Linked DNA regions of Stegostoma tigrinum. The protein of the gene in region 1 interacts with the protein of each later gene in a pairwise test. Links are inferred from orthologs where the notes say so. Each region holds a gene or a part of one and is shown on either strand. Other genes may lie near its edges.

Evidence for each region.
Region 2: the proteins of ceramide transfer protein (region 1) and casein kinase I interact in binary tests that used the Homo sapiens proteins (3 or more experiments, as listed by UniProt). The two-hybrid records come from large-scale screens. The link is inferred for Stegostoma tigrinum from reciprocal best matches to the Homo sapiens genes CERT1 and CSNK1G2.

The regions. Positions count from the first base shown.
Region 1 is NC_081356.1:105,102,386-105,118,157, forward strand, and holds the start of ceramide transfer protein, read right to left. Parts: upstream 6,119-15,772; 5' UTR 5,936-6,118; coding exon 5,843-5,935; intron 5,010-5,842; coding exon 4,875-5,009; intron 1-4,874. UniProt on the Homo sapiens protein: Shelters ceramides and diacylglycerol lipids inside its START domain and mediates the intracellular trafficking of ceramides and diacylglycerol lipids in a non-vesicular manner.
Region 2 is NC_081383.1:18,637,351-18,653,150, forward strand, and holds the start of casein kinase I, read left to right. Parts: upstream 1-9,120; 5' UTR 9,121-9,260; intron 9,261-15,800. UniProt on the Homo sapiens protein: Serine/threonine-protein kinase. Casein kinases are operationally defined by their preferential utilization of acidic proteins such as caseins as substrates. It can phosphorylate a large number of proteins. Participates in Wnt signaling.

The DNA.
Region 1 (15,772 bases):
TGTTCTATGTTCTATGTTCTAAAGTTAACACGCTACACAATATCCATTGCACGATAAAAGTCAAAATACAGCATGACGAATGCAACTGCTGGCAAAACTAGCTCCAATGATACTACTGTTCATTTTCCTGGATCAATTAAACTCACTTAAGCTGCTCACTACTTTCTCAAAAGTAGAAACTTATCCTGGCAACAGGTTTGAAAGATATCCACAGTCCCCAGAAAAGTCCCCTCTTTTCTTGACAATAATTAGTCACCGTTATTTACTCGGTTGCTGCTATTTTGTATGAGAAAATATTGAAGGTTTATCCATCTTTTTATATAATTCATACTTGAACATGTCCACCCTTCTAAAACAAATAATGCATTGAGTCAAGATCTGGTCACAATGGAGAATGAATACGGTAGTCTCTATGGCATTATATCACCATTTATACACAACAGCATAGGAACAGGATCATAGATCCACCAAACTTGTGCCAATTCCTAATCCTTACTTAGACCCATTACTAACTATCCATGCACAGTATCTATCCTGCTGTTTGCCTCTCACTCATGTGTCTGTCAAGATAAGCCAGAAGCATTGCTAGTGGGCCTGCTTCCACCACTGCCAGAGGTAGTGCATTCCAGGCATCCTAAAATGAAAACTTTTCTTGATAAACAACCCACCCTTCTCACTGTGAACCTCTGCCCTCTTGTAGTTGAACTTTCCACCCTGGGGAAAATACCTCCGGCAATCCACCTTATCTACGTCTAGAGAATTGAGAGGCATTGATCAGGTCACCCCCTCATCTCCCATCTTTTCAGTAAAACAATTTTGAGTTTATCCAACTTTTCCTCAATTGCAAACCTCCAGACCAGGCAGCATCATTTCCAAAGCATTCATATACTTCTGCAAGTGTGGCGATCAGAACTGCACGCAACATTCCAAATATGACCTCAAGTTTTGTACAGTTTTAACATAACCTGCCTATCTTCATGTTCGATGCCCCCAGTCATTGAAAGCAAGCATCCTGTATGCCATCTTGACCATCTTATACACCAGGATTGCCACTTTCAGGGATCGGTGGACCAGTATGCCCAGATCCCTTTGTACGTTAAACGTTCCTGAGGGTTCACACCAAATATAGTTTGCACCTAAATTTTATCTTCCAAAATGCATCACCTCTCATTTGTCCAGATTTTCCATCTGCCATTCCTCTGCCCAAAAACCAAATCTGCAACTTATATCCCACAGTATCCTCCTCACTACCTGAAATTGCGTCAAACTTGGCATCATCCGAAAACTTACTGATCAGATAACCTATAATTTCTTCCAGATCATTTAATTATATTACAAAGGTGCCAGCACTGATCCCTGCACAACACCACTAGTCACTGATCTCCGTTCTGAAAAGTACCCTTCCACTGCTACTGTGTATAACCAAGCCACTTTTGTATCAATCCAGCCAGTTCACCCCTGATCCCAGGAGACTATGTTTTGTACCAGCCTGCCATGAGGACCAGATCATATGCCTTACTAAAGTCCATGCAGACAACATCCACTGAGCTTCCCTCAAATCATTCTTTGATTTACATATTAAACTCTTAAAACAGTGAGAGAGCCAGAATCACCAAATCCAAGGTCCACTATTTAATTAAGCACTCATCCTGAAGTCACTAGCCTGAACTATATAGATTTTAGAAATCTTACATGCTGTCAGGTTAGGGTGGACAGAAAGCGGCAGGACTGAATCTATCCAAATCATTGACCAGTTTCCTATTCAGGCAAGCACAACTGCACTTGACTGAATTGCCACTCCTTGACTCAAAAAGCACATCAGGCTTCACAATTCAATAGCCATTTCTTGTGAGAACTGGAGTGCTAACATATACCTATACAAATCACTAATTTTGCATGGGGAAAAAAAAGTTTTAACACTTGAACCCACTTGAAAAGTTGCACACTTCTAATTTGAAATTCTGATTGCAGTGCTGCCTTGGTAAAGACTTAAGTGTTAAGTACACAATTACTGCTTCAGTTAAGCATGTTAAGGGCATTAAAATTAGCATGTATTTATTGAAAATAAACTACTGTAACCATAGATACATATTAAATGTCTCATATTTGAAAGGGAAAGAAGAGAAGAGTGTGGAACTTAACTCAGGAAACCCTGAAGGACCAACTCTTGACTCCCTTCAGTGCTGTTATGCAAAAAAAAAATCAAAATTTACATCAAAGCCGGCCACACACTATTCTACCTCACAACCACCTCTTGAAGTTCTCTACTTTCTTTGATTTGTCACACTGCTTGTTTGACATTGAATTTTGGATGAGCAAACATTTCCTTCAATTAAATGTTACACAACTGAAGTCACTATCTTTGGTTCCCACAAACACCTTTTTTTGACAGCCAGTTTAACCCTTCCAACTGCCTGCAGAAGACGGCCATTCACAACCTTAGCTGTACTTGATCCTGGAGATGAATTTCCGATTACATAGGTTTACTATCACAAAAATTTCAACCTCTGTTAAATCACTCAATTTCAATCCTGCCTCAGTTCACCTGCTGCTGAAAAGTCAATTTTAGCCTTTAGCTTTTCTAGATTTACCTACTTTAACCCTTGAATGACTAGCCTCCAAACTTACAATCCTACAAACACATCTGTTGCTTGTATGCTGACCATGCAAATCTCTCCTTCATCCCTGTGCTAGCTGACTTTCATTGCCTTTCAATGAAACACCTCAGTTTGAACACTCATTTTTCAAACCTCTATGAGATCTGGAACATTGTTATTAATCATTCACAAGATTTAGGATTGGTGGCTAGGCCAGCAGTTATTACCCATAAGTATCACCCTGAGGAAGATGGAGTTGCTTTCTTGAACTGCCTCAGTCCATGTGTTGTAGGTACATCCACGATGCTGTTAGGGAGGGATTCCAGGATGTTTACATAGTGACAGCAAAGGAACAACTGCACACACCCAGCCAAGCACAAACTGTTGCATCACACTTCAGACATGTGAATAGGCAGTGGAAGGCAATGGATGACTTACATGCTACAGAATTCCCAATCTCTGACCTGTTCTTGTAGCTATGTTATTTATATGGCTGCTTCAATTCAGTTTCTGGTCAATGGTAAATTCCAGGATGTTTATCTTCCAAAATGCATCACCTCTCATTTGTCCAGATTATTAGTATTATCACCACAGAATTCTGGCACTAATGAGCCAATCAATGTGGCATCCAGCATTACAAGGCCAAAGGTATGAATGCTCTTCTAATTCTGGCCTCTTGAACAACGCTAATTTTACATGTTCCAAGATTAGCAGACATGCTGCACCTCTGTTCCACTCCTGCTTATGTTTGTCCTGAAAAACCCCCCTCTTTGGTTAAGCATTTGGTCATCTGCTCTGATACCTCCTTCAGTAGCTTGGTGTTGTTATTGCTCCAGATCTTGTACAGCAATTAATGCAGCATGTAAATGCTGGTGGCTGTTGCTGCTAACTTCTGGCAGTTACTCTACCTCCACCCCAAATGTGTTCAAAGAGCAGGCAATATTTTACCTCAACATTTCAAACATAAGTTTGAAGACCAGAACAAACATCATTCCCTTAGCCAAAGGAATCTAACTTCCATCAGGTGAGTAGAAAGAAAGCAGCAAGATAACACATAACTACAATATCAGCGATAACACAACATGCAGCTGGAGCAGCACAGCAGGCCAGACAGCAAAGGTGCAGGAAAGTTGACTTTTCAGGTCAGGACCCTGATGAATCAGGATAACAAAGTGTGAAGCTGGATGAACACAGCAGGCCAAGCAGCATCTCACGAGTCTAGGCCCGAAACATCAGCTTTTGTGCTCCTGAGATGCTGCTTGGCCTGCTGTGTTCATCCAGCTTCACACTTTGTTATCTTGGATTCTCCAGCATCTGCAGTTCGCATTATCCCTTATGAATCAGCTTTGTTTTTGTCTCCTCCTACAATACCTCATCAACTAAGAACTTTTTAGCCTTCAGGTACAACTTGAATCTTAGGTAAGTCGCAGGGTGCTTTAGTGATCAAGGCAACTTCAGATTCTTGAAATACCTGCAGTGCAAAAACTTTGGGTTTACGTGCCCATTTTCAGGACAGACTTCCAAGTTCAACAAAATTGCCATTCCCCGATCAGTCTACCAGAAGCACACTTTGTGCCAAGGAAGGATCCTTCGCCAGCGTCCCTTCTCACTTGCAGCTCCCACACAAGAAAAGTGTTCTACTCCCCAAAGCTTCAGGGGTAAGTGTGAGCCAAGTAAAAGCTGGTTATGATCTCAAATCAAATCAGACCCACAGCACAATACCACGGGATTATTCCTGAACAAGTTGTATACACAACACCAATACCCAGTTTCCAATTAAGTTACTAATTTACAAGTGTGACTACACTGCAAAAGCAATTAATTGGCTATAGTACTTTGGGACATCCTGATGTTGTGGAAGGCATCAAAATGACCTTTCATAGCCAGACCCATTTAACAAAAGACTCTGAACAAGACTAAGGTTAATACATTATTACTGGTGAGATGCTCATTTCCTATCACGCAAGAATCAATTTAAAACTTAGACTGCTTAACTAACTAAATTTCGGAATGGTAGATCAATTGTCACCTGCCATTGTCCACATAGCTACCACCAAGATCATAAGGTTAAAAGCATATCAACCTGAACAAATCAATCCACAATAATTTGCTTGTCCAATCTTCTCTCTACATAGAGAGAATTACAAAAAGGCACAAAGATTTAGAGGACATATTGCAGGATTCAAATTAGTGAAACTAAACTATTGCATATTATACTATGGAAACAGGATGGCACAAACCATGAGCAGCAATACAACGAACATTTAGCAAACTTACGGTAATGACAGCTTTGCTTAGACAGATTGATCCCCTACAACCGTATTCGGTTTCATCCTCCGATTTGTAGTAACTCAAAGTGTTGGTTTTTAAAACCACCCATCGGTCCTGCCACCCATGGATATAGTTGGTCCACTGAAAAGACGTTAAAACAAATTAGTAATACGATACTAAGATATACGTTAGATTGGATTCTACTACGCAGAACGTTCAAAATGTTTCATTTCGTATAAAACTGATTTATAATCCCTTGGAAAAGCGCCCCTCCACTCAGCCAGCCAGCCACTCGATTCAAGTGTAAACGGCAGAGGGCTGAATGTATTCCTCACTCTAGCGTCGGTGTTGCAACAAAACGAACACGCCCGCGTTCACAGTAAAGTTTTGATGCAAAAGCAAAAGCTCTGGCATATCGGCCAGCACCGGGTCCACGAACACTTTGGACTCGGGGTTAAAGAGAGCACATACACCAGAAAACAACTTTAACTCCAGCACACAAACACTACGCACGGAGCTGTCAAAAAAACACTGCTTTCGTTATTTTAAAGATACCAAGCTGTACACAACAAGCAAGAGTGAAGTTCTGCGTTTGTGACGGCTCCCATTTTTCATAACTTTCCCTCTAATATTACACCATCTGTAATTAATCAGCTAGTGAGTAGCTGGGACTGAGCGACAGGCCGCGGAGATCCGGCCGTTGCCTCTCCGTTACCGGGGGACAGGGAGAAGCTTGCCAAGAAGTTTAACGGAATATCAACGGGGTCCCGGGGGAGCAGGTCTCACAGCGGGATGAAGACTCTGATTGACTAGGCAAAGCACTTCTCCTCGGGGGGTTTGGGGAGAGGGAAAGCGTGGGTTGCACAATCCCGACGGAAGGGAGTTGAGGGTGGAGGAGGAGGACTTAAGGACAAGTTCTGTTAAACGAGGGAGTCCGGGGTGGTGGAAGCCGCGGGCCCCAGCCCCGAGCTCACCTTGCTCAGTATCCCGCACAGCTCAACAGGCGGCCCGGACTCGGTGTCCAGATCCTCTTCGGAGGAAGAATTCCAGCTCTGGTTATCCGACATTGAGAGAGACAGGAACGAAGTGACGGTCCGATTGGGGGAGGGAAAAGGGGAGGCAGGGGCGGGAAGGGAAAGGAAAGGGAAGGCACTAACAGCTCCGGCTCCGGTTGTTGCTTTTCCACTCCTCACTGGCACTTGAAGCTCAGAGCACCACCATTTTGGTGACGTCAGCCTCCGAGTGCTCGGACGAGCGGGCACGCGCAGAAAGGGGGCGGCGCCGGGAGCGCGCCGAATTGTGAGGGGGCGGGGAACGCGAGGCGGTGCTGAGAGAGCGGTTGCTCACGCTGGACGGGGGCGGCGAGGCACTGGGCATTTATTATTACAACGCTAAGTGAAAGTGCCGGCCACTTTTCCCTCGGTGAGGGAACAAGGAAAAGATACGTGTCATTCCCCCAACCCCTTGTCACTTTTATCAACCTACAAGGAGCTCACAAAAAGCCGAGCGCAAAATGCCGTTGTTGTGTTGAGGTGAGGTGAGGAGGGGGGATTGTTTCTGTTGGTGGGAGCATCAAAAACCAAGATGACCACCCGGTTGTTGGCAAAAGAAGTGGTATGAGGAGAAAAAAAGCTTTTGGACATTTTTGGTGCTGTGACAATGTAATGCCTTTGGATCAGTTGGCCCACGTTCACGCCTTATCAGCACCAGAGTTATGTAATAACATCTCTGAACAAGTTGATTAGAAGAATAGGTTTAAAAGCGCCAAGGAGTATAAGGAGACAACACAGAGCGGAACTGGAGGAACACAGCAGGTCAGGCAGCATTAGAGGAGCAGGAAAGTCGACGTTTTGGGCGGGGACCCTTCTTTAGAACTGAGTTTGGATGCTGCCCGACCTACGGTTTCCTCCAGCTCTACACTGTTGTCTCTGACTCCAACATCTGCAGTTATTGCTATCTACGAGACATATCAAGATATGGGCAGAGGTAGTTGGAACTGCCGATGCTGGAGAATCTGAGGTAACACGGTGTGAGGCTGGATGAACACAGCAGTCCAAGCAGCATCAGAGATGCAGGAAAGCTTGATGTTTCCGGTCTGCACCCTTCTTCAGAAAAATATTTAAAGATATGGGCAGATGGGATTAGAATAGCCAAGCGGTTATTTTTCAACTGATGTGGACTGGATTCGCTAAAGGGCCTTTTCCTATGTTGAAGACCTCTGTGTCAACAACACAGCCAGGAGATAGGATATGGAATTTGCTTAGTGAAAATGGTAGTTTTCAAAAGAGAACTGGAGAACTATCAGAAGATGAACGATTTACAGAGCTATGGCGGGAAATGGTGCTAAGTCAACTGCACTTACAGGAAGCCAGCACAGAGACAATGGGCCAAATGCCTTCTTTCTATGCTGTCCTTTCTGTGATTTGCTGTCAATTAGTTTTTCGGTCTCTACTTTGGGTTGTGGAAGGCTGTGTTTACTCCATAAATGCTCACCTTTGTTTTGACCGATAAAATTCAAAGTATTGCAAACAATAGGCAATAGGCAGGGAACAAATACAACACTGCAAACAAATTCTGTGTAGCAGTGTTTCTATGAAAAGTGTCAATCAAATAAATGGACAATTTATAAAACTAAAATATTACAGATGCTGGAAATTGGAACTAAAAGAGAAGATGTGGGAAAGTTTCACCAGGTTTGTCAACATCCTTGCGGAGAGAAACAATGAAGGTTTCAATTCGATGATCTTTCATCACACCTGTGAAAAGTTGAAGAACCTCAGGGGTGTTACAGTGCAGAAGAAGGCCATTCAGCCCATCACATCTGCACCAGCTCTCCAAATGAGTACCTCATCTACTACCGTTCTCCTGCCTTCTCCCTGTAACCATGTATGTTCTTCCTTTGAAAAGAAACTATCTAATTCCTCTATCAATTGAATCTGCATTCACTGAGTTTTCAGGCAATGTGATCCAGATCCTAATCACTTGCTACATGGAAAAGCTTTTCCTCTTTTTTTTTATTTCTTTTACTCGTTACTTTTAATCTGTGCTGTTTCATTTTTGATCATTTCTTGAATGGCAACATTTTCTCCCTAGTCACTCTCTAGATCTCTCATGACTTTGAATACTTCAATGAAGTTTTCTCAAGGAGACAAGTCCCAGATTCTCTTATTTACATGGCTGAAGTTCTCCTCATCCCTGGAATCATTCTTGTAAACCTCCCTCTCTCCAATATACTGTCTCTCATGTAGTCACATCCTTTATAAAGAGTAGCACTGAGACCTGGATTCAATACTCCACCTGAGGCTAAATTAGTGACTGATATAAGTTGAATGTAACCTTCTTGCTGTTGTACTCTATGCACCTATTAGTAAAGCCCAGCATATTGAATGCTTTATTAACTGCTTTTTCAATCTGTTCTACAACACTTAATGACTTATGCACCCCACTACTTTTGTTCTGCGCACCTTAATTTTATGTCATCTGCATGTTCTTCGACAAAAATGTATCATCTCACTCTCCTCTGATTTGAATCTCAATTGCCACTTACCTGTCCACACCACCGACTTGCCTTTGTTGATTTAAAGATCTGCACTATCCACAAAGTTTAGATTCTTCCAGATTTTGTCTCATCTACAACTTTTAAAATTTTGCCCTATAAACCAAAATTTGAATTATTAGTAAATATCAGAAAGGGTAATGTTCAAAACGTTGACCTACAACAAATGTTCCCCAAAAGAATCATCATTAACCAGTGATAGTTGGAACTGCAGATGCTGGAGAATCTGAGATAACAAGGTGTAGAGCTGGATGAACATGCAGGCCACACAGCATCAGAGGAGCAGGAAACTGGAGCACCTGGAGGAAACCCACACAGACACAGGGAGAATCGGTCTAGGCCCGAAGCGTCAGCTTTCCTGCTCCTCCGATGCTGCTTGGCTGCTGTGTTCATCCAGCTCTGCACCATGTTATTCTTAACAGTAACCAGTGTTCTTTTTCCTATCATTCAGCCAATGTTAGTTCCATGTTACAATTTATTCCATGAGCTCTAACTTTGTTTAAAAGTATGTTGTGCTGCACTGCATCAAATATTTTCTGAAAGTCCATGTACACCACAGCACAACATCAGCTTAACCAATTGTTTCATTTTTATACAAACAGAGAAAATAGGAACAGGAATAGGTAATTTCACCCTTCAAATCTGCTGCATTGTTTGTGATCATCATGGCTGATCACCCAACTCAATAGCCTGTGACTGCTTTTCCGACATATCATTTGATCTCTTTGTCCCTAAGTACTACATGCGTCTCCTTCTTGCAATCATACAATATCTTGGACTCGACTGCTTTCTGTGGTCGTGAATTCCACAGGCTCACCATTATCTGAGTGAAGAAATTTCTCCTCATTGCAGTGCTGTGTTTAACCTATAATCTTAGACTAGTTCTGGACTCCTGTATCTACCCTATCTAGTCCTGTTAGAATTTTACAGGTTTCTGTGAGATTCTCCCTCATTCTTCAGAACTCCACTGAAGGTAATCCTAAATGATTCAACCTCTCCTCAAATGTCAGGCCTGTCGTACCCAGATAAATCTTCACTGCCCTCCATCTATAGAAAGATCATCCTTTCTCATATACAGAGTCCAAAACCACACATATATTTCAGATGTTGTCTCATAAAGGCCCTGTACAATTGCAGCAAGACATTATTGCTCCTGTACGAAATCCTCTCACCATTGAGGTCAATGCACTATTTACTTTCTTTAGCTTACTGGACCTGAAAGCTTACTTTCAGCAACTGGTGTATGAAGGCAGTTTATATCCATACAGATCATCGTCTGCTTTCCTGTTTTTGGTACCAAAATGGACAACCTCACATTTATCAATGTCGTACTGCATCTGTCATGCATTTGCTCACTCGCTTCACTTGTCCAAATTGCACCGAAGGATATCTGTGGTGCGGCACGGTGGCTCAGTGGTTAGGACTGCTGCCTAACAGTGCCGGCCCGGGTTTGATTCCACCCTCGGGTGACTGTCTGCATGGAATTTGCACATTCTCCCCGTGTCTGTGTGGGTTTCCTCCAGGTGCTCCACTCCCACAGACCAAAGATGTACACGCTAGGTAGATTGGCCATGCTAAATTACCCTGTAGTGTTCAGAGAAGTGTAGATTTGGTGGGTTTTTGGGGTCCGGGTCTGAGTGAGATGCTCTGAGGGTCAGTGTGGACTTGTTGGGCCGAAGGGCCTGTTTCCACACTGTAGTGATTCAATGATTCTCAGCATCCACGTTACTGATGTCTCTCCTATCCTGCTTTGCATCACCTGCAAATTTGGAGATATTACATTTAGCTCGCTCATCCAAATCATTAATATATATTGAAAATAGGGGTCCTAGCAGTGATCACTGCGGTATCCCACTAGTTGCAGAACAAAACCCGTTTATTCCTATTCTTTATTTCCTGCCTGCCTTCCAGTTTTCTATCCATCTCAATATACTGCCCATTATCCCATATACTTTAATTTTACACACTAATCTCATATGTGGGACTTTATTGAAAGCCTCTGAAGGTTCAAGTAAACCACTGGATTCCCCATTAATTCTCGAAAAATTTAATAGAATTGTCAAGCATGACTTTCCTTTCATGAATCTATGCTGAGTCTGTCCAATCCAGCCACTGTCTTCCAAATACCTAGCTGTGAATCCATTTATAATGGATCTTAGTATTTTCCCACTACTGACATCATGCTGAATGGTTTATAATTCCTGGTATTCCTGCTGCCTCCCTTTTCGAAATTTCTCAAAACTAGCAAAGACAAAGGAAACTGAATTAACTCCATAGAGGTTGGTATCCCATCACTAAATCACCCTTTATTTACACGTGGAGAACCCTTGACACTGGTTCAACTCCCTCAGCCCCAGCTCTGAGAGTAAACAGAACCTCTGACACTCCTGTTTATTTCTTTCAGCCAGCACTCCCCGATTGGACCAGATTAACAGCCCCAGTCAGGGAACTCATACTTAATATAGTCCACCTCGCCGACCTTCTTATAATCACAACAGAAACAAAGTTGCTCCAGGAGTCATGATCTAATATAGTTGAACTGAAATTCGAGTCCAGAGTCTGGAAAGTACCCATGCAAAAGATTAGGTACCATCCCTCAAGATTGGTTTGAATTTGCAAACCATATAAAACTCACATAATTAATATTATTGTTACCAAACATTCTGTTTCCCTCCTATGAGGAAAAATCAATGTAGTTCCTGTTCTGCTACTTCTGGTTCAAAGGTTTGAATATGATCACTGTGCCACAAAAGCCCTAACTGGTAGAGTTTTTACGCTTGATTGTGTTATTATCATCTTTTCTACCTCCTAGTGGTCTCTTTGTTGACTTACTGTACATTTCAAGCTTTCAGCATCAGTTTTCTTAAAAGCATTGAATGTAATATGTGTCTATATATGCTGGAATCAGCCAGGGATAACCTGTAGGTAATCTATTCTAAAAAAAAAGTCAACCCAGAATTTTCTACAGTGGAGCATATAAAGGTTAATGCTACAAGTTGAATCTTTTTCCTCATCCTTTCCTCAGTTAGTTTTGTGCTCCACATGAGTGTAAGTGTAGGCTGATCCTGTGAGGACAATGGGGGATCTGGGGCCTTGGTGAACCATTGGACAAATAAATTTATTCCTTATCCAGTGAAACTTAAGAACGGAGAAATGACAGTGAATAATGGAGAAGCAGATGGGGTAAATTAGAACCAAACTAGATGCAGATAAGTGGAAAGAGAAAAAAAATTAAAATTGAAAAAAAGAGACATTTAACCACAATTTACTACCTGCTGGAAGGAGAGTCCACAGTTTAAATTATCACTTTTCAGGGCCAGCCAGATGATAAGGCAAAACATGAACTTAAATATTGTCATAAAAGGGACTTTGAAATTGCAGCCCCTAATCTTTTAGGATGAGCATAGTTCATTTTTACAAATCAAATGCCAGCAATTTCTTGACAATAGTAAGGTGGTGAACTGTGAACTCTGCCAATGACCACAGTCATTGTGGTGTTAATTCATTTAATCTAGTGCAGCAGAGATAATCTAAGTGAGTTCTCTTCCTTCAGAGAGGAAAACTGAATTTGGGTTTCTGCTCCTGACATATCCATTTATTTATTTGATGAAATATGCTAATATAGACGTTGGGTGATATTACATTGACGCACAATATATAGTTCACCTTTAACAGCCATGTCCACATTTATACTTCATGTTAGCCTCCTTCTATGTTTCCTAGTTGTATTAGGTTAATGCTGTTTATTATCACCATGAAACTGCACACTAAATTTAGACCATTTTGCTTTAACCACTTCCTGTGGCAGCGATTCCACATCCTTGCTATTCATTTGCATGGGAAGTGTTGTTAGAAGAGCATGGGCAAGTTAGTTAAGTGTTACTTATTGAATGTAAATATTGCTGCAGTTTTGAATTTGTGGAATGATTGAATGTTTGTGCTGGATGTGGTGCTAATGAAGCAGCTTTGTCCTGAATCAAGATGAGCTTTTTGAATAAGATAACAAAGTGTGAAGCTGGATGAACTCAGCAGGCCGAGCAGCATCTCAGGAGCACAAAAGCTGACGTTTCAGGCCTAGACCCTTAAGAACGGAGAAATGACAGTGAATAATGGAGAAGCAGATGGGCTAAATTAGAACCAAACTAGATGCAGATAAATGGAAGAAAAATCAATGGTGGAAAGAGAAAAAAATTAAAAGTGAAAAAAAGAGACATTTAACCACATGCTAGTGGGAACTGCAGATGCTGGAGAATCCAAGATAACAACCCTCTCTGATGAAGGGTCTAGGCCCGAAACGTCAGCTTTTGTGCACCTGAGATGCTGCTTGGCCTGCTGTGTTCATCCAGCTTCACACTTTGTTATCTCAGACATTTAACCACAATTTACTACCTGCTGGAAGGAGAGCCCACAGTTTAAATTAAATTATCACTTCTCCAGCATCTGCAGTTCCCATTATCTCTGAGCTTTTTGAATGTTAGTTGGAGCTTCACTTGGCCACACAATGCAGGGTATTCCATGACACAGCGACACTTATGCCTTGTCAATGTGTCAGTCTTCAGAGAATTAGGGGCAATGTATTTGCTGTAGAAATCCTAACCTCTGACTTGTTTAGCTCTGATGAAGTGTTATGTAGACTTGAAATGCTAGCTCACTGTCTTTTCATGGATGCTGCCTGACCCGGTGTGATCTCCAGCATTTGTTGTTTTCCTTACTTTTCCTTTTCTTGTGATTCCTATGTAGTGTAATTCCTGTAGTTTTGGTAGAAGTGGAAGCAAGTCACTGCTATTCAATAGGAGGTGGTAGTGTAGTTGTAGTGTTTCTGGAATAGTAATCTAGAACCTCAGGCCAATGTTCTGGGAACAATGACGAATGAAGAAATTTGAATTTAGTTGAAAATCTGGGAATTAAAAAATGCTAGCCTTATGATGACTATGTAACCACTATCAATAGGTTAAAAAATCCACCTGGTTCACTAATATGCTTAGGGAAGGAAAGCCATTATCCTTAGCCATTATCCTTGACACCAGACCACAGCAATGTGGTTGACTCTCAAGTGTCCTCCAAGCAATAATCAATATATTGCATGAAGGCAGCTATGAGGGACAGATGTACATTGCATAAGCACAAGAGTGAGTAAAGTGGTAAATGGACCTATAGAGATATGAGTAAACGCATGAACAGAGAAGGATGGGAGCACCTGTAATTAAGTGAATGTGAAAAGTGATGTTATGGGTTAGGCTTGAGAAGGCAGAAGGAGGGTGTCAGTGATGTGCACCTCAGGATGTAAATAAATGCATTTCTATCTATTATCACTAGAGTGTATTACGTTCCCCCACTATTTAGGTAATTGCATTTCCTACACGGAATCCAGGAATGTGGTATTATGTTGTTGATGCTGATAAATCTGAAGTAGAGTCTGAGGCTCTGAATTAAAACTCCAATGTTTGCCTGTAGGCACAAAACTTAATACCGATACCAAATATAAATTATGTCGTAAAGCCCTCTAATATATGTACAGGGACGTATGTTTAAATCTTATTTTGGAATCTTAGAAACCTCAGCCTGTAAAACATTTTTAGAAAGATTTATTATTTATAAATGGTACATTGCAAAGATGCTGTTTGGTTACTTACCAAAAAGCTTGCATTTCTAACATTTTTCTCTCTTTGTTCTTTTGGTGGTAACTTATGCAGAAAATATGCCAATGGGAACCCTACCGATTGGCTATGTTTCATAAGTCGTCATGGACACTGAACAACGAAAGACGTTCTGATCTTGGAACAGTCACAAAACAGCAATACCCAAGCAAAGGTTTGCTCTCCATGGCAGTATTTTGAAAATAAACCAACTGATTTTGTTTTAGTCTAGCATTTAGAAAATGTTGAACATAATTGTACTCAACCACTATCACCAGAATTAAGATAAGTTAATGGAATCGCATATCATGGACTGTTTTTTAACTTGCCCCAGAAGGAAAGTCAGCTTGTACCCGATTTGCTGTGGGCAGGTAAAATTGGCTAACGTGGGACTTCTGCTCCTCAGTTGGAAGAAACCAGATGTTCCATCTTTCCCAGCAGCACCAGTAGATGTTGATGGGATTGCGGGAAGAAGTGTGAAGTGGATCATATCTGTACCAAGAAGGTGGTTCCTGGGCTTTAGGGCCAGAAGAGACTCAATAGCCCAGGGAGAGAGAAGCTGGGTTTTGTTGGGCAGACTGCATGGATAGGGAAATGACAAAGAGGGAGAGGAATGGAGCTCTGGTTCTCGCATCCCTAAATAATATCACCTTACATCCCAACAACTTCTCACAGAGTTCATAAAATGGCCTGCCTGACTGCCCAACCATATCTTGTTTTCTTGGCAGCATTTTATTCATGTCAATGGCTAAAAAGCAGGATCACATAAAATCAAGTCCCATAGGAGAAGTTTCAGCCCAGTTCCATGTCAGAGCAGAATTTAAGGAATCACTTTCCAAAATTTTGTGAACAAAATATTTTAAATTTTGAACTATTGGCTAAAAGATTATCTTCCTTAATCTTACGTCTTTTTTGTATTACATTCAATAATGCCCTAGGCCTGCTAACTCCTGCTACCAGGGCACTATAAAAGCAGCATAAGAGACATTTGATTGATCAGGTAGGCCTTAGCAAAGGCAATTTAGTTAAAGCAGCATTACTCACCTTCATCAGTACAGTAAATAAAAATCAAATTAAATTCACACAGCACGTGGAAACACGATGTAACAACACACTTAACAGAGAACAAAAGTGTTTCACATAGCCAAGACAAGGAAGCAAAGCTTAACAAAAATTTAGTATTGTTATCGTAAATTAAAGATAACCTGCTGTATCATGTGTTGCATTTCACTGTAGCACTACAGCTGACTATTTTCACATGCTCAGATCAAGTGGTTCATTTTCAGTTATTAACATGGGACTATAGAAAATACAGAGCTGCATAATTGGCCCAGTGTGCCTGTCCCGGAACATAGAAAGTATTATTGAATTTTATTCTACTCCTGTAGCCTTTGGCCAGTAGCCATATATTTTCCCCCTTGAGTGTTTCTTCAATTCCTTTCTTAAAATTATTTTTATGTTTCTTTCTACCACCCTTTGAAACAGTGCATTCCAGATCATGATTATTTACTGCTTTTAAAAAAAACTTATCTCATCTCTGATATAACACAGTGTGGAGTTGGAGGAACACAGCAGGCCAGGCAGCATCGGAGGGGAAGGAAAGTTGACGTTTCATCGATCATAGAACAGTACAGCACAGTACAGGCCCTTTGGCCCATGGTGTTGTGCCGACCTATTATCCTACTCTAAGATCAAACTACCCTGCATACCCT
Region 2 (15,800 bases), on another chromosome or scaffold:
ATTTCATTTACAGATTACCTCACCAATTAGTAAAGTCCCTGCACATTTACTTTAATACGTCCAAGTTCCAAAAAAAAATTAGTATGTTTGTTTTAATAACAGTACACAATTATACATGCATATGTTTATTAAACAACCATAATTTGGATGTGCTTTTTCTCAGGACAGGTGCTGTAGGGGGCAACGTGCATTTAGCCAAGAATTTGAACAATTTGTGAGACGATTTATGGATAAACTTGATTATCTGTAATGAACATAATTGCAGATATGCTTTAACGCAGTCCTGGTTCGGAGGGGTGATGGTAAATAACATCTAGTTACTACTCAGATTATCATAAAATCAAAATTATATTTGGAAGATTGTTCTGGATATTAACAATAATGAAAACCATTATTTGAAAATTATGATTTCCAGTGTGGGTAGCAGGACTGAGACATTTAGAAACATAGTGGCTCCTTCATATCTTGAATCACACCAGTTATGGGGCCATTATTTTGGCACAAATCATTTCTGTTATTGTTTGCATAAGTTTGAAGCTGACATGCTGTTTAACAAGCCATTCTTTCTGCCAAGTTTACTTAGCCAGTTTTTTTTAAAACTTGTGTAATTATCACATTGAACTATGAATACTTTGGCCTTAAAGTATGATTTAGTGAATAGCTGAGAAACTGTCACTGCATTAATTGTAATCTGAAACATACAGTTTTTGCCTGTGTTTGGAAAACTTACCATATACTTAACATATTTACAACGGCAGACATACTAAATGACAAGTGATATGGATGATTAACCAATATAAACTGTAGTCATCTGAAAAATCTTGAAATATTTACATTGTTTGACATTCTTGATATTGCCTGATGTGAAAACTCCTCCCCTAATCCTGTACTTAACTGATGGAAACAAGCCTTCAACTTAACAAGCATGAAGGTTTTTCATAACACCTAATTGAAACAAACTTCTTATGTAATGTTAGACATTAGTTCTACATATGCAACTTTTCTTGACCACAGAAGAAAAAAACATTCCAGGATATTAGTCAACTTGGTCATGCTGACTTGGAAATGTGATTCAAGATATGATGACTTTTACTTATGAACTGTCATGAAGTTAATTAAACTTTGTCTGTGCCATATCAAAAACAAATCCAAGTTGTCTCATTCAATGCTGGAATATTTTAATCTGTAGTATGTTTACTGTTTATTGGAAAATGATAAAGATAGTTGCATTTTCAAAATTAACGAGAAGAAATTTTTGGAACTTGTTCATCCTTTGTTGATTAATTCAGTTTTTACTTTGAAGGAATTGGATTATTTTTGTCAAATCAGTTGTGTTAAGGGTATGTGGTGGGCATTAGGAGAAACTAGATAGGACAAGTATCAGTAGTTCCCTGTGGCATTGACACAAGTGCTGTTTCACATGGAAACCATACCTGCTATTGACACATCATGGAGTAAGGTTTTACTTACCAATTAATTTACTTGATCACGTTTAATGTAGTTATGTAAGAAAAGAAGAAATGGACCAACATGATGGCAGCTACCATATCAAAGCTGTTTCTTTCACATATCTTTCAAGATCTATTTTGTTTGCTTGCAATTAGAAAACAATTAAAGGACCAAAAAAATCCTTATACGTACTGAACATATATAAAGTATTGAACTTTATTTAAGTTTGCTGTGACCCTTTTCAGAAGTGTACTTACCTCTAATGTTGCGCTGCAGCTCCCAAAATAAGGTGTGTGCCTTTATAGTGTTTCTAATTAGAAATGATCTGTACTTTGAGAAGTTTTCAACATTGGGGACATTGTTGTCCAGGAAGAAATTACCTTTGCCTTAAACACTTGGTTTTTTTTTGATGATGAAATTATCCTAAGTATCTACACCATTGCAAGTTGTGTTATTAGTTGTTATTCAGTTGTTAACTTCCAATTAACACTGGGTCACTGAGATTCTGTTTTCAAATTTGGAGAATTACAGAAACATTAGCCTCTGAATATCTGTTATCAAATTTATTTCTTTTGGAAGGGAGAAAGCTTAAAGAACAAACACTAAAATATTTTCCTGAATAACTTCCATTTCATTGTTCAATTGGATCTAAATATATATTTGGTCAACGCGAATATGACTGATCTCTTGGATTGCTTTAATACATTAATATAGAGACTTATGCACTTATAAATTTTATCAATGCTCAAGCAGTTGATTAATTGCCGTAGTTGAAATGCAGGTATGACAATGATGACGATGTAAAATTTATTCATTAAGGATGCATCTGAAAATTCAGTAGACAGCACATGGACCCTTGGATTATAAAAAAAAATTCAGTTTAAATATTAGTTACCATAGGCATATAATATCGCAGGTTTGCTTTCAATGCATGAGCTTTTCACGTACAGTTCTCCCTTAAGTCCCAATTAAAACTTATTTTGCTAATTCCCAGAAAGGTTAAAATTAGAATTAGTTGTACAATTATTGGCACTTGAATTTATATGTTTTAGCCTTTGAAGATGACATGCTAAAATCAGCCAGTGAGCAGACGAGGACATTTTATGTAAAATCTTGTCTGCAGTGATGCTGAGTAATGGGTGAAAGACCTGTAGGCCGTACAGTATTTTTTAATGGGGAAGATTTATCAGTTAACTCGTACTTTGTCAAGGCTGTTTGGTTGAAATCTTAAAATACAGGAACTGAGGAGAACTGAAGGTCATCAGAATGCTTGCAGTCATATCTCAACATTCTAGGTTGTGGGTGAAATCAGTTTAATGTCCACCATGTTTTAAGCTGTGCAAAACATCCCTTTTTAGTTTATTGAAGCATCACAAAAACTCATTTTATTGACACTGTAAGCAACATGCACATTTTTTTCAAAATTTGCCACAGTTTTGAAAAATGTATGAGTACTGAAACAAAAATGAACTTTTTGCATCGAACAATTATTACAAAGCAATAGTTATTTACAAACCTTTGTTTTGGAATAAGCATATGTATCAGGTGCAAATTTACACAGGCTAATTCTCTTGCAATGGGATTTAAAAACAAACCCAAAAGCCACCCTATGGAAATCAATTGGGAATGTATAAAATAGTCATCTTAATTTTGGAAAATGTAATTGATTTGAAGTAGGTCATCAAATATGAGCAGATGAGAGGCAGAGCTGTGAACTCCATTTCTTACTGAAACTATTTCAACTAGCAAGATGCACAGCGATACTTTATTTTTTAAAAAATGCAAAATAAAATTTCTTGTCCGGTATGCTAATATGATCTTAAAATTGAATCAGCAGGATTTGCATAGTTAATGAGACCTAGGACTTGAAGCTTGCAGTTAACTCTAGCTGTTTATTTTAGTTAGGGCAAAACATGCTATTGATGCTCAATACTCATAACGTGTAGAGTGATGTGCATTAAACAGATGCTTTTAGTTGATTTATTCTGCAAGTTATTTATCTTTAGCTTTAATAATACCTTCAAAATTAAGATTGAAGTCCATAACTGATTGTTTTTGCATAGCATTGAAGTCCATACATTGTTTTGAGTTATTTAAATACCTATTTTTGATTTATACCTGAAGTCTTTTAATTTGACGATATTTTCCTACACACACTGACATATTCTAGAAAAGTGGTTTATTAAAAATATATCCTGCACTGCCACAATGATGCCACCCGAAGGTTGCAGGAACAGCAACTCATATTCCGCCTGGGAACCCTGCAGCCATATGGTATCTATGTGGACTTCACCAGTTTCAAAATCTCCCCTTCCCCTACTGCATCCCTAAACCAGCCCAGTGCATCCCCTCCCCCCACTGCACCACACAACCAGCCCAGCTCTTCCCCCTCACCCACTGCATCCCAAAACCAGTCCAACCTGTCTCTGCCTCCCTAACCGGTTCTTCCTCTCACCCATCCCTTCCTCCCACCCCAAGCCGCACCCCCCGCTACCTACTAACCTCATCCCACCTCCTTGACCTGTCCGTCTTCCCTGGACTGACCTATCCCCTCCCTACCTCCCCACCTACACCCTCTCCACCTATCTTCTTTACTCTCCATCTTCGGTCCGCCTCCCCCTCTCTCCCTATTTATTCCAGTTCCCTCCCCACATCCCCCTCTCTGATGAAGGGTCTAGGCCCGAAACGTCAGCTTTTGTGCTCCTGAGATGCTGCTTGGCCTGCTGTGTTCATCCAGCCTCACATTTTATTATCTTGGAATCTCCAGCATCTGCAGTTCCCATTATCTCTTATTAAAAAGTCCATTACTTTCATTTGCAAGAAATTTAAATTAGAACCAAATTTATGAGATTGATTGCATCTACTGTAATTAGAGACTATTTAAGCCCTTGAAAAAGAGCTGAGTGATTTTTTTTTCTCATAGACATTTGTTATGCAATATAGATGCCTTGTTTCATATCTGGTGTGTTTATTTGGAAATGCATATACATATGTGTTTATTATTTACATATAGACTTACTTTTTAAATACACAGCCATGACTGTGAACGAAATACCCATTTTTCAGTCTGACAGAAGTATTCATTGTGGTCACTTCAGCATTTAGTTCAATACTCCCTGGTCTCTGTACAGCACTCTACAACTAGTGTATTATGATCATTGTGCTGCTTTACATCCTTCTGAATCACACAAGCTAGGACACCTTGTAATTCCTAAAAATCCTATTGATATATTTTGGCAAGCCAAACAATGGGATTCCCAGCTTGATGAGAATAAGTCATACTCCATTTTTCAAAGAGTTGCAAACACTTTGTTTCCATGAGGTTGAGTTATAATGAATGAAGGAAGGAAAAAACATGTTTTGACATTCCTACTTTGCAAAAAATGCACTTTTTTAGCTGATTGAAAGACTACATTCTACAGCTAGCCAGAATTTTAAGAAATTGAAAGAATTGAATTAAAAATAATCAAGCATTTTAATACATGCCGCATGATTAAAGCACCTGCATGACCAAATGTGTACTTTAGAATACGTTCTTTGGGTGCTATTTTTACGTTGAGGTTTTTTTTGTATTAAACTTAAAACCTAATTTGTTTTGATGTGTGAAATGTAAAATTATGACCTGGACTCTGAAGCATTCATTTTAGAAAAGTTATCCATAAAATTTTCGTTTGCATGAGAATATGGTATAACACTATCACATTGCTCCATTTCCTGAAGATATGTTATGCTGGTTTGCTATTTTCTGCTTTTGTAATTAAGAGTGTATGTTTATTTGTGACCTTCATAGCACAGACTAGACAGAAGTGTTGAGTAGTTCCCAGGCAAATTTTTTTTTAACTAACTTCAGTTTGAATGATCTGTCCGTGTGTGTGTGTATGTATATATATGTTCTGCTCAAATGTCTTGGTCGTAAGATACTAACATAGCTCTAATATGTATTACGTATTGTGTTCAATTTGATTTAAAATGCCAAACACAACAAATAAACAAAAGGGATTGTTGTCAATTTGTTTGACAAGTCTTCAGAATGTATTTACTCGTATAATATGCAGGTCTATTTGAAGTTAATACGTAAATGAAATGTGAGAATGAAAAGTGCTTTTTTATTCTCAACTAATCTAGTCATTCTTTGATTTGTACTTTTATTCATTTGTCTAATTTTATTTTAAATAAATACTTCTAAAGATTTAAAATCAAAATTCTCTTTGAAGCAAATATTGGCTCTAATTCACTTTAACCCTAATCCTATTGCACTAGACATTTCCCTCCAGTGTTTGACTTTCATGCTAAATAATTGCATAATTTAATCCAAGTGTTCGGAATTGGATGTTTAGAAAAGGCCTTGTTAAAACTACAAAGCATGGAGAATAAATTTAAATAAGATGTTCCATTGGCTTTTTGAAGGATTTTTAATCCCAATATAGACCATTCATCCTTTCAAAATATTTATCATTCCTCTTTAAAGCCACAAAGTTTTAAAATTGCTTTTGTAGATGTAACTTTTAATAAGTAATATTTGTGCAAAAAAAATTGAATTCAGATTCATTTTCTTTTGCAATCTTAATGCAACAATTGTCTACTTAATGACTGATTAACCCCTGATTATCACAGTTAAATATAAAACTGGAAAAAAAATTATCTTTGGATACAGCAATTGAAATATTGTTCAAATTTTATTTGATATGCTTCTGATTATTGGGTTTCCTGTTAAACATTTCACACTTAGAATGAAGTAATGGATTGAACAGGAACAAAGAAAATTCACCATCATACAGCAATCTCTAGCTAGATAATTGTAAAGGGAACCCAGCCTTAGACATAACTGCTGAGGAGTCTGATGTTGGAAAAGTTGGCTGTCTGACTTCTACCCCGCACCCCTCCTCCATTTAACACCCTTCTTGCCTTATTTGTGAGGAAGATGAAACAAAATGTTGTACAGCGATGAGCTAATTTCCAGATAATTTTGATCAGTCTTTCAGAACTTATGGATTTTTGCAAAGTAGTTGAATATGAATGTTTGGCTACCAAAGTGCTTTGTCTTTTGTGCAGCTGTATACTAAACAAACTGTTCCTATCATTATACTCCAGAAAGCTGATGGTCAATACCAATGTGGCCTTTTAAACATTTTATTAAAAAAAACTATGAACATTTGATAGTTGAAGCTGACAAGAGATTGTTACAACTCCCTAAGAGGGATTTTTTTTTCCTATAACTGAAAGTTTTATTCATTTGAACATATCTTAATTTCCTGTTATGGACTTTACCTGTTTCAAGGTTTTAATATGTTCTGCATGAAATGTTAAATGTAAAAGGTATTGTTTCCCATTTAAGGGAAAATCCATTGTTTTAAAAAGGAAACACTAATTATAGGCAAGACTGACAGTATTTTGTGGTCAAAATAATGCGTATTGTAAAATTGTAAGCTTATAATTGCTAATAAAGTGCCTATGTTAATCAATATGAACTACTGTATTTAATTTCTGATAACACCAAAGTAAATCGAGCCAGCTAAAAGTTGAAGGAAAGCTATTAAAACTACTGGTTCTGGTTGCAGGTGTAATATGATATCTATCAGCTGCTGAATCAGAATCTGTGCATCCCGTCTGACCTCGCGCAGAGCTTCTGATCCCTTGTTTTCTATCTCCCGGATTTGTCTTTTTTTTGTGTCATTGCCCATTTTCAGCTTATTTGCCACGACTCACATCTATAACTTTTGCTGCTCTGACACTCCAGTATTCCAGTGCTGCCCATCCTCCACCAGCTTGGGCTTTTTATAGAAACAACTGTACTAAGATGCTATATGAACAAACAATTAGACAAAAAAACAGCAGAGTTAAAGGAGAAAGTAGGACAGGTGACAGTTTTGTCAAAGCTTGTGTTTGTATTTACATTTGCAACTTTGACTTTTGTGCCTAACTTTGCAAGGCTCCAGTATTCATTATCAGCTTTTTTTTGTCATGTGTATATTACTACTGCTGTAGCTGTCTACAGTCCGCTCCAACCACTCAATAGTAGTGTATTTTTACTGAATGTTTTTTAAAACATTGGTTAATAGTAACCAGCATTCAATTATGAGCAGTTTTAGGATCTCACCTATTCATGTTACACATTAACGACTTGGAGGCAGTAAGGACTGCAGATGTTGGAAGCTAGTCAGTGAATGTGGAGCTGGAAAAGCACTGCAGGTCAGACAGCATCCGAGGAGCAGGCAAGTCAATGTTTTAGGATCCAGACAAAGGGTTTCAGCCTAACAAAGGGTTTTAGCCCAAAATGTTCCTGCTCCTCGGCTGCTGTCTGACTTGCTGTGCTTTTTCAGTTCCACGTTTTTTGACATATTTAATGATCAGGACAACGAAATGGAGGGCATTTTGCTAGGTTTTCAGATGATACAAATGATGGAGGGACAGGTAGTGTTGTGGAAGTGGGGAGGCTGTAGAAGGACTTGGATAGGCTACAAGAATGGGCAAAGAAATAGCAGATGGCAAGCAATGGGGGAAAGTGAGGTTATGTACTTTTGGTAGGAATATAAGCATACTGTTTTCTAAAGGGGAAAGGTTTTTGGAAATCTGAAGCACACAAGGACTTGAGAGTCCTATTTCGGGATTCTAAGGTTAAAAAGCAGTTGTCAACCAGGAAAGCAAATGCAATAGTGGAGCAGACTTGATGGGACAAGATACAGAAGCAGAATTTATTACCTGATGATGGAACTTAATAATTATGAGTTCAAGAAATGTGTTCATGAATCTAACCGTACAGGAATGTGAGGTATTTAGTAATGAATTAAGAACATATGTAATTCATATCTATTCACAACCTGATCCGCTCAGTACTTTTCTGGTATTTAAGACTCCCTCTATCCACTCTGAATACAGGCTGCTGTCGTTACCGTTAAGTCCCACCTGCTCCAGCCATGTCGTAACATATCTAAACAGAACTTTTAAACTGCCCATTGCTGCATCTTCCCAGCTATAACTAGCATAAATGATGTACATTCTCTCACGCTGTAACCGTATTGATCCGCAAGGCTGCAGTCGCTTTCAAACATGGCTGTGGGACTGCCGGCCCCGAGCTGCTTGAGGGACAGCAAAGTAGGCTAGCATTGCTAGACCAGCAGTTGAAAGCTGAAGAGTGCAAAAAAAATCATGGTCCTATGTGAAACGTTTGGTTCACACGTACCCCCTTCCCCCCCGCCGGAACTAACGATTTCGGCGAAACACACACGGGTTTCGTATGAAAAACTCAGCCGGAAATTAAAAAGGGGCAGACTCCATGAGACGATCTGACGTCAGAGACCGCCTTGTCTCCGTGTTTTTACGCCACATTTTTATATTTTTTCGTCACTAAAACATGTCCTGCTGTAATACTGCTAGAGGCCTCTTCTCTTCCCACCCCCACCCCGAACAAACGCAAACGGACTATCCGCCTCTTATCAACAAGACGCTTACAGCGAGACCACCATCTGGCAACTACTTTCGCCTGAACTTTCCTCTCCCTGCTCAGCCGAACTTGTGGTGGGGGTATCCTGATTGACGGTTCAAATAACCAATCGGAGTCGCGGTCGTCCCTAGCAACGCTCCAAAATGGTGGAGGTTTCCGAAGAATGGACCAATCCGCGCGGTGAGTCCCGCCAAACCAGCAAGTTCGGTGGACTCTGGCGGTCGGCAGGTAATGCGCATGCACAAAGGAGTTGCCCTGGTGCTGGATTGGAAATAGGTTTAGAAAAAATCCCAGCGGTGATATAAAAAAACAGCAAGAGAGGGAGACAGAAATGAGGGAAGAAGCTGCTGTAACCCTGGCCTAGAAAAAGGTATTAAGTGTTTCTCACCTCTGAGAACAGAGCGGTGAAAGAGAGTGGCTGGTTTTTTGCTGTTGCTCTCCCGGGATTTGTGTATTTTTGTCCTAAGAATTACTTAGGATTAGGCTCGGTTGTGTTTGGCTAGGCCTTCATGGACTCTTGCCGCTTTTAAATGAACTAAATCCTGTTCCCTCTGCCTCTTGCGCTGTATCCCCTGCTTCAGAGAAGCTTTCAGTTTGTTGCTTTAGATGTGACGAGAAACACCGACGTCCATGTCAGATGCAACACTTTAAAACGCTATAAAGGACTCTTTAGTTTTTCTCTTATTTTTGTAAATGGAATTTTTAATTGATTTTACCAAGTTGCTCAAGTCCAGGCCATCGACGGTGCATATGCGTTTGCCAGTATAGACGTAGGAGAATTTACGCATCGAATTGCACCAAGTTAAGTACTGTTTTTCGGGTGGTGGCCGTGTTGGGTGAACTTACCATGAAACCACCAGATGAATGAATTCCATGTTCGATCCAGCTCAAGCGACTGCATTAGCGTTGGTACATTTTGTCTGTATCTATGAAACGTTTACTGTCTTTTTAAATAATTTTTAAATGAAAATCTAGTTAGCATTCATAAACGGTACTATGGATGGAACAGCACCTGTATAAGGCATTATAGTTGTTACTCAACCTTACAGTACTCTCATTTGACTGTATTTGTTGCCATTTTCCTTTCTACAACAGCCCTCTCCTAATTCCTTCTAATCAAAAACAAAGCAAGTCCTCTGTAGCGGATAGAAATACTTATGGTTCCCCATGGACAATGGCTAATTATCGATTTTCTGCTTGGTGCAATGCCATAACGTGTCAAAATGGCTAATGTCATCTTTGGTTTGCCTTTTAAAAGCATTGGTTTAAAGTTTTGAGGTATGATATATGCTTTAGATTCGAAGTTACCAGTGAACACATTTAAGAGCAAATCTGAACTGCTAAATTTCCAGAGCAAGCGATAACTTTTTTCTAAAAGACATTTAAACTTTCAGTTAATAGTTGAAACGTTGACAAGTTTGCATATTTTAAGGCTTGTCCTGTAACAAAAGAGTAAAGACTTTTTTGTTTAGGACTTTGTAAAAGCCAAAAAGAACAAAGGCAAAAGCACACTTTCCATTTACATTATATTGAACTTTAAGTAGGCATTCACTTGGAGCCAGTCCAAGTTTGTATTTATTTCTGTACTTTTCCTGAGCTGAAAAGTTCTCAGGCTGTGAGCTGCCTTTCACAATAAGGTTTTCCCTTTAGAGGTTCTTGATTCCAGCTGGGTAAATCTTCAAGCTTTGAACTCCTCATGAATTCAGTCTGTAATCTCAGAATGAGCTTTCACACATATTACTATGTGAACTATAACAGCTTTCTGGTGGCTGGTTTCACTCTCCTGATAGACTAGCCATGTCAAGAACTTTCAGGAATAACTTGGACCCTTCCCCTGTTGAAGCCTATTTCCATTCAGACACACATCATGTGGGGCTTGAATCAAGTTAGAAGTGCTGATTATCTGTTCTTAATTCTCTTAATTTTCTGCAGTAGGGTCATAGAAATTTATAGCATGGAAACAGACCCTTTGTCTCAACCTATCCATGCTGCCCACTCTTAACAATTAAACTTGTCCCATTAGTCTCCATTTGGTCCATATCCTTCTATGCCTATCCAACCCATCCACGTGCCTGTCTAAATGTTTCCTAAATGACAAAACTGTACTTGTCTCTGCTACTATCTTTGGCAGGCCTTTGCAGATACTCACTGCCTTCTGTATGGAAAAAATTGCCCTTCTGGACCCTTAAACCTATGCTCCCTAATTTTAGACACCCATTCCAATAGGGAAAATCTGTTGCCTTATCTACGTTATCTACACCTCTTACGATTTTATAGATCTCTATAAGGTCACCCATCTTCAATACGAATATACAGTATAATGCATATCTGCTTACTACGCTCATACTTTTCTGGGACTTAAGCCTCCCTCTATCCACTCTTTGAACATAGGCTGACGCCGCTCTCTCCAAGTCCCACCTGCACCAAAAGTGTCTCAACATCTCTGTAGACAGTTTTTAAAAACACATTGCTGCGTTTTACTGGGAAAGTACAGCAATGAGGCTTTCCCCCCCCCCCCCCCCCCCCACACTTAATGTCTCCCGGTCAAACTGCTTGCTATCAGCAGATTTCAAAACAGATCATATGGCCCCTTCATTTTACCTTAAGTTTAAGGCAGTCTCAAAACATAACAATCTTAGAGACATCAATTATAAGTGAATGTCAATCGAATTATGCCCAAACCATAATATCAATAAGTAGAGCTTTGCTTGTTAGTTGCAATGCTTGACTGCCACCTTATTTGATTATTTAACTTTAAGCTTAATGTGCCTTTTTGAACCCAAATTGTAGAGTTGTGCAGGTGCTGTATACATGTAAAGCTGCAGCTTTAAATGGTACAGCTATGAGGGCAGATTGTTGATACTAATGTATCCTATTAGGAATGTAAATGGAAAGGAGTGGGAGGGGTGAGGGATGGAGAATATCAACCAAATAGATTTCTAAGTATGTTTCATAGTTGCCTCTGCTGCTTTGGTGCGTGGGGGGAAACAAACTCTGCATCTCCATTTGTAAAATGAAGTTTGAAATAACTTCAGTTATAACGCATCTTGAATATGATTTACTTTTGAGAATTCTTCTAGGGAATCTAGTATAATATAATATAATAGAACCAACTGGTCTTATGGGATGATAGCCACTATTTTATTTTCTGATACGTCCAAACAATGGTGGACATCTTGGTTGAATATCCTATCTAAACGATGACTGTAAACTACTTGAGTATTGTTTACACTTGAGATTTTTGCTTACTGTATGACATAATATACATTTATGAATAGATTTCACTTCATCTAAGTTGTATGTTAGCACTAAGTCTCTAGTTTGGCTGTCTCATCGAGCTGATTGTTGGGATCTGAATGATCTCCTATATCCTGGACTTTGAAGCTAGCAGTAGCCCTTTTGTGTGGCTTGAAAAAATTGGATTCTACCTCTTTGAGGCCTGATTATTTTGAGAACTTGTCTGTCATGACTTCCTTTTTTCTTTTTTCTTTCTTTTTCCTGGATCACTTTTAACTTTACTGCATGGCATTTCGGAAATGTTGGACATTGATTGTTCTCTTCTTCCAACATATCCTACTAAATGCATTGTCTGGTGCATTTTGGGCACTTTTTAATATTGGGCTATCTGTTCTAAGATGCAGCCTGAACTTCTGTAAATACGAATGCCAAGTTATACTATTAGCTTAGTTTGTAGTATTTTGAACCTTTGACATGAATCTTTTGATTTTTAACAATGTTGTAATATGCCTTTCTTGGATTAATTTTATTGATAAACCAATTGCAACGTGGCTTTGTAAGGTTTTTGAGTAGACTTGTAGCTCAGGTTGTGGATGTTGTGGTTGATTGGCTCACTGAGCTGGTTCGTTGTTCTGCAGACGATTCGGTACCCTGCTGGGTAACATCAGTGCAGCCTCCAATGAAGCGCTGTTAGGTTTTCCCACCTGGTGTTTAAACTCTGGTGTCCGTTGAGTTGGATCACCTCACTTCCAGTTTTCCTTTTGCAGTGGAGTGTATACAGGATCTAGCTGTATGTGTTTGTTGATGGCTTCACCATTTTGTGGTGGTTTTGTGCTTGCAACTGTATTGAAGTAAAGATAAAATAGTCACGGACATACCAGACTATAGGATTGCTATCTTATTCAAGAGAGAGACAGCCGATTTGTTTAACGCAAGAGTCGACATGCCTTAGTTAGGGAGACAGGTTGAGAAGGAGAGTCCTTCATGATAACCTCAGCCATTGCAGGAACTGAACCCATACTGTTAGCATCACTCTGCATCACAAGTCAGCTGTTCAGCACACTGAACTAACCAACTCCCTGGATTGGAACAAGTCACTTAATATACACAATCAATACATTTTCAAATTTAACTCAAAATACTTTGTTACACCATACATTTTGGGGGCAATATTTTGACTGCTCACTTAAAGTGGATTTTGTATTTATGTAACACTTACTTATTCAATGGCATTTTTTAAAAAAATCGGTTCAGCTCTCAAGTTATGCCAGTTCATTCCTATAGCTTGTTAGAAGCAAGGATCCTGCCAAAAATTTCTATGTTCAGGAAGTTTGCTGACTTCTTTATTGCAAACCCTGTGCTCCTTAGACCAGTATAATTTTTTGTTTTACTTTAGTGGAAAGTACTTGATGCAGATGGAGACTGGGAAATGTCTTGACAAGTTTTTGTTAATAGTTGGGCTTTTAGACAGGACATTAATGATCCTAAAAGGAGCTAGGTAGACTGATACTGTAATTTATTGGTGTTTTGTGTGAATAACTATAACTCAAGTTATGTTAGTCTTTTGATGGGCAAAGAGTTTAAAATTATCTTGAACTGAATTCTTTAATGAGGCGAGAGGAAGAAAGTTACAGAATTGACTATTTGGTTGTATTCAAATATGAAACTAATGTGATATTAAATTGCAGCAGAATTCAATTATTGGGAATACTGATAGTGTAGTGGAAGAAGTAGGGCATGTTTAAATAGTTTGTCATCAATGCTGTGTTTCCCAGACGTATTTTGGTATTTCTGCAATAGCAAAAATTGCAACACCCCCTTAATTGTTAGGCGATTAATTTTGACAACGGCAAATTTGGGGAGAAAAATTCTGAAGTTAACTTGGAAATTTGTTGTAGTGATCTGACTATCGGTCATCTCTGCTAACAGTTTATATTGTGCAATCATGTATTCAAGTGTTTAAATTTCTGCGTGGAGTCAATGGCTACATGCCAAACCTGAGAGCATTGTTGTGTGCAATAACTTGCATATACCCAAGAAGAACTTTATAGTGTGCCTGGTTTTGTCAATGTTTTCAATGTTAAAACATTCATACTTAATTGCATTTTTTTATATATGACTGTTTGTTTATTCTGTCACAACAATCCTATTTTCTTGTAAAGTAATTTTGTATGCACCCTCTTCACAGTTTCAGGAAGATCAAATGTTGCCTACAGGATGATATGGAATAGATTGTTTTAAAAATCAACTTTTTGCTTCTTTGGAAGTGTAATTTCAAAGTTATCCAGATTTAATGCTCAGTTTAACTTTTTTATGAACAGAAAGGGCCAAGAGCTTTTGTTTCTTGAAACAAGAGAATGATAGAAATTAAAGACCAGCTGCTTCCTATAGACCAGAAGATAAAGTGAAAACTGGTCACAAGTGATGAATTTTATCCCCAATTAAATCAAAGATACCGTGGTGTCTTTATTTTTGAAAAAGAGTGAAGGCTTCAAAATCACTTTTCTTAAAACGTAAGTTAAACGGCACTGCAAATTCATGTATATTGCCCATCCATGCTTGTCCTTTGAGAAGGCAATGATGAGCTACCTTGGATAGCTATAGTGCATGCAGTGCTGATTGTGGAGGCTGATCACAGTCTTTTGATGCAGTAAAGAAATGGTAATAGATTTCCAAGTCAGGATGGTATGAGACTTGGAGACAAACTTGGACCTGGTGTTCTACCCAAGCATCTGTTGAGCATGAGATGGTAGGGATAACAGGTTTGGAAGGTACTGTCAAAAGAACTTTGGTCAGTCAGTAGAGTGCACGTTGCCACCTGTAGATGTATTTCCTGAATGTATAATTTCACCATATTTAATCAGATGTGTTCTTACTTGGTGGAATAAGTTTCCAAGAACATTTTGTGATACCTTGTGTAATCCTTAATATGGTGAGTGTATGTTTTATGGTCTAACCTAGGGTTACTTACAATCAAAATATTCTTGGTTATTCTCATAGTCTATGTGGAAATGAACCAATCTTGGCCAAACAAGTGTAGGTTATCGAAAATGTTCCATGATCCTGTGGTTGGCAGAGAAATTCATCTGAGGATTTAGCTTCTGTTTGCTGAAATTCCTGGAAGGTGCTTGTGCCATTATAAGGTGTCCACTTTGATTCGTAAAGCTGTCACTGGATTGTCAAGGTCATTTGATGTCAGAATAAAACTTACGTGCATGAATTCATGCTCCTTACTTTATAGCCACTTTAGGTAGAAAGCTGGAGTATTACGTAAAAGACCAAGTACACACATGTATTCAGGAACACTGGCATTCTGAAAATGCAATGAATACTAATTTGCTGGGAGAAACATAATTTTGAAATCTTAATTGGAAATAATTTATACTTGCAAATAAATTGTAAACGAATTATTAATTTTAAAAGTTTGCCTTATGCACAGCTGAAAATAGTGCGAGAACAAGGTACTTTGTTTTTTTTTAACCAGCTCATTACACGCATAGGAGTACCACAAGCTTCTGCAGTGAAAAAATTCCTGAACAAAACACTTTTTTTCGTCTATACTGGGTTCGCTCAGTACAAAAATGCCCTTTTTTTTGGCAGCATAATTTACTATCTATGCAAAGATCAGTGTAGGCCAGGTCAGTCAATTTCTAATACAACATATCAAAAGTCA